2 linked regions of the Mus musculus genome follow. Each later gene encodes a partner of the first gene's protein in a complex. Links are inferred from orthologs where the notes say so. Each region holds a gene or a part of one and is shown on either strand. Other genes may lie near its edges.

Region 1 (5,832 bases):
CCCAGCAAGTTTTAAGTTTTTATATAATAATTTTTAAGCGAAAGAAGACACACACCCCTTGATTTGCTATTTTAATAATGTAAGGACTTAAGACAGGAAGGAAGGAAGGCAGGCAGGCAGGCAGGCAGGCAGGCAGGCAAAAGAGAGAGAGCTCAATGGTTAAGAACACTGGCTGTGGGCTGGCGAAATGGCTCAGCAGTTAAGAGCACTGACTGCTCTTCCAGAGGTCCTGAGTTCAAATCCCAGCAATCACATGATGGCTCACAACCATCTGTAATGAGATCTGATGCCCCCTTCTGGTGTGTCTGAAGACAGCCACAGTGTACATATAATAAGTAAATAAATCTTAAAAGAGAGAGAGAAGAAAGAACGAACGAACACTGGCCACTTTCCAGAGAACCTAGAGATTTAAGTCCCAGCACCCATATGGTAGCTTACAACTATCTGCATCTCCAGTTCTAGGGGATCAAACACTCTCTTCTGGCTTCTGTGAGTACCAAAGCACATATGTAATGCACAGGCATACATACTAACATGAAAAATAAAAATATACATTTCTTTAAATGAAAAGCACTGAAGAAGCCATCTTTCAAATGTTGGATATTCCTTCAGACCTCTACCCAGTGAGTAAGGACCTATATAGAAGACCACACTAAAGCAGCTGTAGATCAGTGATGCCTACAGGAGACATGTCGATCATGTCTGGACATACTTTTTCTAAGGGAGTCACTATTTTATGCATGTACTGACTTCTATAATTACCCCTAGTGCACAGTACTTTTGTTTGGTCCAATATGATTCTGTGTTATTAGCAGACTAAGTAGTTTCTTCATTGTATTTCCTTAAAACCCTATTTATTTCCAAAAGGGATTTAAAATGACTCTTTCAACTACAAAATAGGAACCAGTGAGCAAGCCTCTAAGGGAGTTCAACTTTATCTTTCTCCCACTCATCTTCTTTCTTTCTTTCTTTCCTTTTTTTTTTTTTTTTTTTTTTTTTTTTTTTGGTTTTTTGAGACAGGGTTTCTCTGTGCAGTCCTGGCTGTCCTGGAACTCACTCCATAGACCAGGCTGGCCTCAAACTCAGAAATTTGCCTGCCTCTACCTCTGCCTCCCAAGTGCTGGGATCAAAGGTGTGCGCCACCACTGCCAGGCATCTTATTTTAAATGAAATAACTGTAACCATTAAATATTGAAGCCAAAATGTTGCTCAGCAGCAAAGTGCAGGCCTGCTAGCACACTTGAGTCCCCAGGTCAATTCCTAGCCCTGAGGCAGAGAGGGAGAGAACTTAAAACTAACCCTAGCATTTGGGAGTTCATCTTTTAGTATGCATTATGACAAGGCCTCAGAATATGCTATTCTGATATGTAGGGCATGGGTACTGTTGTGAGGGACTTTTCTGTTTAGCAGCATTTAGCATACTTATATGTAGTAGCAACTCTCCACAGAAAAAGTGTTTCCAGACATGATAACTGCTTTTGGCACAATGTGTTTGGTTAAGCACTGTGGTTCTACACTTGAGTGTGGGCTTCTCACAGGGCACAGGTACATAAGAAAGTTGTGAAAGGTAAGACATTCCTGGTGATTTCATTCTTAAAAGACTCCTTAAATTATGAAAGCAAAAGGTTTTTTTGCTTTCTTAAGTATTCCATTTTCGAACTGAGGAAGCCAGGTCCTACAAAATATCCAACATGTGTGGTAGTAATACATCTGATGTTTCCCAAGTTAGGAAACACACATGCACACACTACACACATACACACAACCACAAAACCCTCTATGCTGTGGCAGGTAATTTAGGAACTCTCAATACCCTGCTGTAACTCAGCTTTATAGTTACAACTGCATTTATGCAATCTACAGCTTGTCTCAAGTGAGAGTCAGATTGCACCAAGTGTCCACTTTCAAACGGCCGTTATTTTGTAATACATTTACGTGCCGATGACTTTGCGTGTCTCAGCATATCTTTTCACGCAAATCTTCAATGACTTAACTCCAAAATGGAAATGTTAAAAACCTCTACCATATTTAAATGGTTTACATAAGATGGATTTAATTGCTTTCTCACTATACCACAGGTATAAGTACTTGTGATAACTAAGACTAGCTGTCAGACATGTAGGAAGGCTGAAAAACAAATCAGAGACAGAAAATCTAGGCTTCGTTGTGGTCGTTAGTCTCCACCAGCTCCATCCATCTTCAACTTTTTTGTTTATATATTTTTTAAAATGGCAAATAATATCTCTATTTCTAGACAGATGGTCATGTTGGATTATACTAATTCATGTGAGACCCTTTGTAGACAGCAAAACACCACACAAATGTTGGGTATCATTGGTGGTATTAGTCACAACACAGTAGAGAAATCCATCCATGAAACAGAGGACACACCACTAAACATATAAGTCACTTTCCAAAACAGACAGAAATTAGGAGGACAGCTTGAGATGATAAACTCTGAATTAGAATTCAGACATCTGAGATCTAACCTCAGCTATCCTATTGTCATTCTATATGTCTAAGCCCTGGTCAACTTTCCTTTTTACCTCAAAATTTCTTCATTTAAAAAAAAAAAAAAATCCAAGTTGTCTATGACCAAGTATCCAAAAATCCTCGCTTAACACTTTATCCCAAATCTAGCTTGCTTCGGTCTTCAGAGACACTAAAGTTGATGAGACGGCAGAGAGTAAGAAATTTTTAATGAAAACTTAATTCTGTATCGTTCACGAGAACCTTCTTCTCTATAATTAGTTTTCTTCCTAAAGGACAGCAAATGAAGAACAGGGTGTATAGGGCGGGGTTCTTTCCCCAAGCTTCAGGAACCACCCACTTCCCAAAGAGGTGCAACTGCTTCCTCCAGGGCCCTCACCTGCCAAAAAAACTTGAAAGACTACGGGTTCCACTGGCCGAGCCAGCGCTTTGCTTTGCTTTGCTTTGCACTCGGGTGGGGATGGCAGTAGTCAGATGGCAAGCACACCCTCTAAACACCATTACCCACAACGCCAAGTGTCCCTGAAGTCTCATCAAGGACTTAAGTTTCTGGCCTGACTGTCATTTTTTTTTTTTTAAACAATCAGACCAGGAACTCCAACGTGGGTCTCTCCGTGCTGGTGCTGACTGATTTGTACCAACTGCCAAGCTGTCCCCTTCCCTCGCCGCCCGCCCGCGCGTGGGCAGAGGCGCCGCCGGCCCTCACTCCCGACCGCGCCAGGTCGCGAGGGCGAAGCCCGGAGCTCGCGGGGTGACAGGCCGGGGGCAGCAAGGCCGCCGCGGCGGCGCCCCGGGGTCGCGGCTCCCCTCACCGATGACGATGCGCAGGTGCTTGAGGCGGGTCAGCGCGTCCTTCTTGGTGTCCAGCACCTTCTGGGTGGACTTCTTCACGTCCCCGTGCGGCTTCTTAGAGAACATCCTGCGGCCGCCGCGGCCCCTCCCGGCCGGGTCCCGACGACCCAGCGCAGGCGGTGGGCGGGGAAGAGGCTAGCCGCGGCGGCTCATGCGTTCCCCCGCGTCCGCCGCTGCCGCGCGGGCCCCGCTGCCAGGCCCGCCTCTCGCCGCCGCCGCCGCACGGAACCTGCAGCCCCGGCTCCAATATGGCGGATCCGCCCCGCGCGCTGCAGCGACGAGGAGACGCGGAGCGGCCGCCGCCGCCCAGGCCGCGGCAGGAATCCCCACAGCCGCGGAGAGGGAGCGCTCCGCCGCGGCGCCACTCCTCTCTCCCTGAGGCCCCCTTAAGGTTGAAGCGTCTCTAGCAGCTTCAACCCCGCGGAGGCCAAAACCGAGTCGTGTGGTGATGGAGTTTCACGACTCTGCCGTCGGTGGCGAACGGTCCCCGTGGCAACCGCCTTCTGACGTCAAGTGCTCGTGACGTCATGTCAGCGTGAGCTCATTCCTGCCTCTATAGCCTCTTGGTTTCCTGTGTCTGTAGTAATGAAGAAGGGCAAGAAAGTTAAGGAAGGTGTTGTCTACTGTGTGCTCCTTGTAAACAGCGGTTCCTAGAGTTTTTGTTGAAAAAGTCGTTCATCTCCACTCTTTAAACCGCTCTGAGTAACTTAAACATCAGAACAGATGTGCAAGGCCAGCTTGATACTAGCTCTGAAGCCTTGGCTCTGACGTCATTTCACTTTCTAATTTGGATATTTCCTGTGTTTTGCAAACCGTTCACTTTCTAATTTGGATTCTTCCTGCGTCTTGCAAAATAATGATTAAAAATGTACTGTACTTTAGAGATGCGTGGGAGTGTTGCATCCTTTTCCTTTAAATTAACATGCACATGGCTAGAGCTGCAGTTCGCTCTAGCACCAGATCTCCAGCACCAAGAAAACAGACATAAATAAATAAAATATCTTGTACAAGTAAATGCATCCTACCATATATCAGAGAAAAAAAATTAAGAAATCTGGATGATTTTAAAGGAAGGCTGTCTTTAGATGTGAAATACTCACCTAAATCCAAAGAACGCTGTGTAAGATCCAAGTAAAACAATTAACTAAGTGTGGTAGTGCTCTGCTGTCATACTAGGATTTGGGAAGACATAATTCAAGGTCAATGGCAGCTACGTTAGACCATGTCTCAAAACAAAACAAAACAAAACAAAAAACTACAAAACACAAGTAGTAATCACAAACTCTGGCTTTTTGTCTTTGCCTGTCCCTAGTGCCCAGTCCCCTGCTGATCTATCTTCCGTCACTCTGAATTAATATTTGTTAGACAATTTTGTTTGTATTTTTCTTTAGAGACTTTAAATAATTTATTTTATTTGTTTGTTTATTCATTTGCTTTTTTCGTTTTGGTTTTCCAAGGCAGGGTTTTTCTGTGTAGCCCTGGCTGTGAACTCACTCTGTAGATCAAGGTGGCCTAGAACTCACAGAGATCCACATGCCTCTGCCTCCAGAGTTCTGAGATTAAAGTGTGTGCCACCACTGTCCAGCTTGTTTGTTTGTTTATTTTGGTGTTCTGCCTACATATATGTCTGTGAGATGGTATCAGATCCCCTGGAACTAGGGTTACAGACAGCTGCAAGTTGCCATGGAGGTGCTGGGAATTGAACCTAGGTCCTCTTAACTGCTGAGCTGATTGATTTTTATTTTGAATCTGTGAGTGTGTGTGAATGTGTGTGTGTGCGCGCGTGCGTGCATGCACACAAGCATCTACACAAACATGCCTTTTGAGGCTGTACTTATAGGCAGTTGTGAGCCACCCAGCCTCAGTACTGCAAATCAAACTTGGGTTGTCTGCAAGAGCATATACTCCCCTAACTAGTGAGCCATCTCTACAGCTCCCTTCTTTTAGAATTTTACATCAAATCTACAGAATACATGAAATGTACATAAAAACAGTGATGTGTTGTTTTATCAGTAGCCTTTGTCTTCAAATAGTAATTCACCAGTGAGTGCAACAGTAGGAACTCCCACGGCCTATTAAGAATAGCAGTAATTAGTAGGAGGCTTCTGAAAAATAGCAGGATACTTTAAAATGTTTACATAATCTTGCGGAGGTTTGAATAGGTATGGTCCCCATAGATTCATGTGTTTGAATGCTTGGCCCATTAGGAGATGTAGCCTTGTTGAAGTGGGTGTGGCCTTGCTGAAGTGGGTGTGGCCTTGTTGGAGGACTTGTGTTGTTGTGGAGGTGGGTTTTGAGGTCTCATATGCTCAAGCTCTGCCCAGTGTGGAACCCAGTCCCCTGGCTGCCTTTGGATCAAGATGTAGAACTCTCAGCTCCTCCAACACCCCGTCTTCCTCCATGCTGCCATGATTCCCACCACGATAAAGGACTAAACTCTGAAACTGTAACCCTGCCCCAATCAGCTGACTTTATAAGAGTTACCTTGGT
Region 2 (5,681 bases), on another chromosome or scaffold:
ATATAAGAGACAAGAGAACCTTCCCCTAACAATACTATACTGTTAAAATTACTTTATGAAATATGTATTTTTATCCAATCTATACACATCACATTTAACTGGGGAGAAATATCCCATCTAGGCATGCTGGTATAGGCCTGCAATCCCAGCTACTTAGGAAGCTGAGCCAGAAGGACCCTAAATTCAAGGCCTGCTTAAGCTACAGACTAAGTTCAAGGTCAACCCAGATAGCTTGGTATGACCTTGTTTCAAAATAAAAAATTATAGCTAGGTATGGTGGCACATGCCTTTAATCTCTCAGGAGGTAGAGACAACAAACCTCCATGGGTTCAAGAACATCATGGTCTACATAGCCATTTCTAGATTAGCCAGGGCTACATAGTAAAACAGTATTCAGAAAAAATAATAAAATTGAATTTAAAAAAATGTATACACACACACATATAAAATAAAATGGGAATCAAAACACAGTGGTACAGCACTTGCATAGAAGGTCTGTACTCAACCCCCAATACCAATATAAAAAGATAGGGGTAGGGGGACTCTTCATTGTAAACAAACTTCTTCATAATGACCTTATAATATTTAATCTACTTAATCTCATACGGCTTTAAGAATAACCAAGAACAAAGAACTAGAGAATTGACTCAGTGGTTAAGAGCACTTACTGGCTGCTCTGGCCGAGCACCCACGTTCAAGTTCCAGCAACTGCATGGAACCTGAACACAACCCTCTGTAACTTCAGTTCCAGAGGACCTGACACCTTCCTCTGGCCTCTGCAAGCACCAGACATCCAAGTAGTGCACATACATGCATGCAATCAAAATGCCCATAAACATAAAAATAAATTTTACCAAAAAAGGGGGCGGTACTAAAAACAGAAGCAATGAGAATTATTGCACTGACTTCCTTTAAAACTGGTAAGCATGTGCAGCAATGGCAGTTCAGACATTATGTAATAAACTACACCGAGTCTGTATTGTTGCTCTGATACAGAGCTGACTGTCTCCCATCAGATGGGATGAACTATAACTGCGTGCGTTGATACATACAAGGCAATAGCATCTAGACAACACTTCTTTTAGACAATGAGGAAAGGCCACATGCAAAACCCCAATGGCAATAAAAAGTCTCTCACTATAGAATAGACTGTCTACATGGAAGTTAACAATAAAATTCACCAATGTTCTTGTTTTGTTTGTTTTTGTGTGTTGATTGGTTGGGTGGAGGTTTGAGGCAGGCCTCTGTATGGAGCCCTGGCTATCCTGTCACTAACTCACTGTGCAGAGCAGGCTGGCCTTAAAGAGATACACCTGCTTCTTCCTCCTGAGTGCAGGGATTAAAGGCGTGTGCCACCTCACGCAGCTAAACCAACCAATGTTGCTGGAACATGGTCTTACATCGTGCCTTGTCATGGATAAGAATTCAACATTTTATTCATCTGCTGAATAAATGAATAAACTTAACTAGAGTATTCCTAAGGAAAAAGGAAAAAAAAACCCTAATGTTAAGAACAGCAAATATCTTTTATAAAAAAAGAAAACAGATGCCTCTGCGGCATGAGGTCTATGACATAAAGGGACTAAACACTATATTCAAAAAATGTTTGTCGGCCTCGATGTCAAAGTACTCCAAGAGGGAGAGACAGACAGACAGACAGACAGACACCAAGAAAAGCATGGTCCCTGCCATCAAAACCTTACAGAAGAGCTTAGGAGTACAACACAGAAAAACATGTGGTCAGCTACTCTACAATAATGCCAAGATGGGCAGGGCTCAGGGGAGGCAGAGGATCTTGAAGGGACTGTTGAGAGCTGGGCAATAGACAGAATTGATGCATATGAGAAGGTGTATGTGTTCGGGTAGGGTGCTGAGAAAACACGGAGGCCTGTCTTGTAGAAAGAACAGTGTATGCAAAAGTCCAGAGGCTAGAGAAACCATAACCATGAGTGCCGTATATTATGGGAAATTGTAAACCAACAGTTTTTGCAAGGAATGTATACATTTTTTTTAAAAGCTCTGCTAAGAATCCATAATTGGGTCTCACCCTCAAGGAGGCCTACCTACCAAAGGGGTGGTAGTCTGTGGATCTAAGGAAAAGTTCTCTCTTAGTGAACAGCTACCATCCTAGCACTCAGGAGGCTGAGGCAGAGAAATGGAGAGTTCCAGCAATAGAACAAGGGCGCGCTGGGGGGAAGGGAGTGACAATATGAATTTCTGCCAGTGGAATCCACGATCTTAACAAGCATCCTCCTGCACACATAAACTGGAGAGGCACTGTCAGACCTCTGAGATTACATGCTTTCACACTTGTCAAACCTCACTATAGCCCAGAACCACTAGGGGATCTCCGGAAAGACAAATACTAGAAAGATACTAGTATTTGTCTCCCCCTACCCTCTAGACATGGTGGTTTAATTAGTTTGAGGTGCTATGGCACCAGGAATCTTTTCAAAACTCCCCAAGTGATTTTTACCGTGCATCAAAGTTGGACATCCAATGACCTAATTGGTTAAGAACCTGGATCGGACTGTCAAGGCTGCTTGAGTTCAAATTACCCAGCTCTATGACCTTGGGCACCAAAGGCGCCCGATCGCTCTGGGCCTCGGTTGCCTGGTCCGTAGAATGGGGTAACAGTCCTGCCGTGCAGGGTGCTCAAATTCCCTATCTGGCCTGGGCCTGGCGGAAAGCAAGCATTTGCGGAGGGTGGCTGTTTACTCTCCTCGCAAGCGTCACCGTGCCCTGGGCAGTAGCATCCTCACCGGACGGCAGCAACTCCACCTGCCCCTCGGTGGACCGCATCCTCCCCGGAGTTGCCGCTGCCACTCCAGACCCGCCCCTGTCCCCAGGCTGCCAGGGGGGCGCTCCGCCAGTCCGACCCTCCCGGGTTCGCTCACACCCGGCAGAATCCGCGGGCCAGGACTGTGCTCCCGCGCCCGGTGCGGCCACTTCAGAACCCAGGAATGCGCCCGCCGACGCTCGGCCCCGGGAGCAGCGGAGGTTCAAAGAGCCCCTGCCTCAGTAGCTGCTGAGGAGAGGGAAAAAAAAAAAAAAAAGCACGGCGAGAGGGGAGGGTCCGGCCGCACCGCGCCGGCCGCCGCGTACCTGAGGCGACGGGCGGGGCCCGCATCGCTGGGCGGGCGCACCGCGGGCCGCACTCGGCCTGCCGCCTCACGCGACCCGCGCCATCCGGCCCGCGCTGCCACTGCCCCGGCCGGCCCTCCACCGGCAGTCAGTCCGTCCACCCGTCAGTGACTCTCCCAGGGCGCCCAGGGGACGACGAACACCGGTCGCTTGGCCGGCCGGCTGGGCTCCGTTCAAGCAACTTCCGACTGCCAGGGGCGGTGGCGTCAAATAATTCCCCAGCCGAAGGGACTACTGCGCCTGCGCGGCGCTGCTGACCCGCGACTTCTGAAGGGACCGAGTGGGCAGCGTCAAATAAGTCTCCGAGCCTGGAGCCGGAAGCTGCGCGTGCGCAGCCGTCCCAGAGGGCCGCGCGAAGCGCGATTGCCCACACCGCCCCCTTTCGGGCTTCGGTGGAGTGGGAGGAGTAAAGTGACGGACACTTACGTCATCGCGGTGCCAGCTCCAGAAGCAATCTGGCTTCTACATGTTCTTAGTGCAGAAGAGTAAGGGGCTTCTCTATGAAAAGTTGGCTACCATTCAGGCTAAAGGAATGTCTCACATCTCAGCATTGTAGCTCTTCCTTTGCCCAGCCCCTTATTACATGGGCGCAGCATTATTATGGGCAATGTCCTCGCCAGGCCTGACGTGCTTTAAAAGGATGATTCAGAACCTGTCACCAACGAGTTGTATCTGATCGGGGAGATAAGCTATTACTAACAAGAGATACAAGTTCGAGCACCTGCCATGCACCGGACGTTTTGCAAACAGTACCACTGTCAAGAATTTCGTTTCAACTTCCACGAGGAAAGTAACAACATTTTAGACGTACTCCCCACGTGTCAGGCTGAGAGGAAAGAGGGATGGAGACAGCTTCATAGAGAGCCTGGCCTTGTGACTGACCTTGGAACTCAGAGGTGGAGGGATCAGGGTGTTAGGCTGTGCAAAAAACACATTTGTATGGAAAGCAGAGAAAACGGTGACTGTCATCCTCAGAAGAGACCATGAACCAAGTAGGAGTGAAGAAGAAACTAGTGCCCTCGTAGAAGAGATAAAACAAGGATTCTTTAAGACCACAACCTCACCTACAGGAAGAGGGGAAGGGGTGGGTAACAATGTGCCAGGACAGTGTGTGGATGAAGCAGTAAAGTTCAATTAGACAGTTTTTGATAAGTGCTTTATCACATGGTCACTATTCCAAGCCCCTCTCTCCTTCCCACTTCTACACTACAGAGGCCAAAAAGCAAAGCCCCCTCCCCTGCTTGACAGCATACCAGTGAAACAAAGTTCTAGTCCATAAAGCATAAACCAAAGTTCCAAGGGAGACTTAGGATATAAAGGAAGTCCTGAGAAATTTTGTGTCCTTCAACTTTCCCCAACTTCATGATTGGAACCATGGTATAATACAATGCCAGGAGATGTGGCAGTCATTCTGAGATCTTGCAGAAGACTCTACTATAAATGTAAAACAAGGCAAAGAAACCTGCCTCTTTAGGACACACCAAGGAAACTGCATGGACTCTGTACTCCTTTCCTGCTTTAAAGAGGGTGGTGGGCCTTATTTATACCACAATCCATTGAGTTTTCTGTTACTTGCGACCACATTCCTAACACCGAATATTGAACATCTATGGAAGATCAGACTGATAGGGTTGAAGAGGAGTGGGTGATGGGAATTGGAAAAGTGACAGACACGGAGGACTGGGAATCTTTTTAAAGCACATGGAACTGCAGACATAGCTTAGTTGGTGGAGTATTTGCCTGGTGTGTTTGAGGTCCTGGGTTTGATTCCCAGTACTACACAAACCATATGTAGTAGCATATTCATCCTTGAACTTGTTACACAGAGTGCTTTGGGCCAGCTTGGGCTACATAAGGCCATGTCTCAAAATAAAAAAAAAAAAAAAGGACTTGGAAAAATGAAAATACCTCTAGTCCCTCCACCTTGAGAGTTTAATTCATGGCAGACTTAGTTCTTTAGTTTTTTTGTAGGGAAGCTACAGGGGAGAGAGGTTTCCATTCCTTTAAATGAGGGAAAGAAGTTGTGCTCAGTTCCAACTCGAGGCTCTCTTATCATTTTTATTTCATACACAAAAATGAACTGTTGTAAAAGAGAATAGAAGTAGAACAAATAGAAGTTTTAAAACTCCTAACTACCCAGCTAGGAAGTTTTTGGTTTGGGTTTGGTTTGGTTTTTTTTTTTACATTTTTTTAGAAATTTATTTATTTATTTATTTTATATCTATGAGTACACCATTGCACTCTTCAGACATACCAGAAGAGGCCATCAGACCCCATTACAGATGGTTGTGAGCCACCATGTGGTTGCTGGGAATTGAACTCCAGACCTCTGGAAGAGCAGTTAGTGCTCTTAACCCCTGAGCCATCTCTCCAGCCCCAGAAGTTTTCACATATATCTGTACCTCAGCTGCCATAGTACATACAAATGTGAACTGGAATTCTTTTCCACGTTATAACATGAAATTTAATCATGCTTTAATACTCTTTTTTATTGACACCTAGTAATTGGACGTGGTATACATATTTATAAAGTCCAG

What was found. The genes of interacting proteins can lie anywhere in the genome.
Region 2: Ralgapa1 (region 1) and Ralgapb share a complex: the UniProt entries of both Homo sapiens proteins name them as parts of the heterodimeric RalGAP1 complex. The link is inferred for Mus musculus from reciprocal best matches to the Homo sapiens genes RALGAPA1 and RALGAPB.

The regions. Positions count from the first base shown.
Region 1 is NC_000078.6:55,817,360-55,823,191, forward strand, and holds the start of Ralgapa1 (ral GTPase-activating protein subunit alpha-1), read right to left. Parts: upstream 3,809-5,832; 5' UTR 3,409-3,808; coding exon 3,303-3,408; intron 1-3,302. UniProt on the Homo sapiens protein: Catalytic subunit of the heterodimeric RalGAP1 complex which acts as a GTPase activator for the Ras-like small GTPases RALA and RALB.
Region 2 is NC_000068.7:158,407,528-158,413,208, reverse strand, and holds the start of Ralgapb (ral GTPase-activating protein subunit beta), read right to left. Parts: upstream 3,357-5,681; 5' UTR 3,106-3,356; exon of another isoform or gene 2,763-3,105; intron 1-2,762. UniProt on the Homo sapiens protein: Non-catalytic subunit of the heterodimeric RalGAP1 and RalGAP2 complexes which act as GTPase activators for the Ras-like small GTPases RALA and RALB.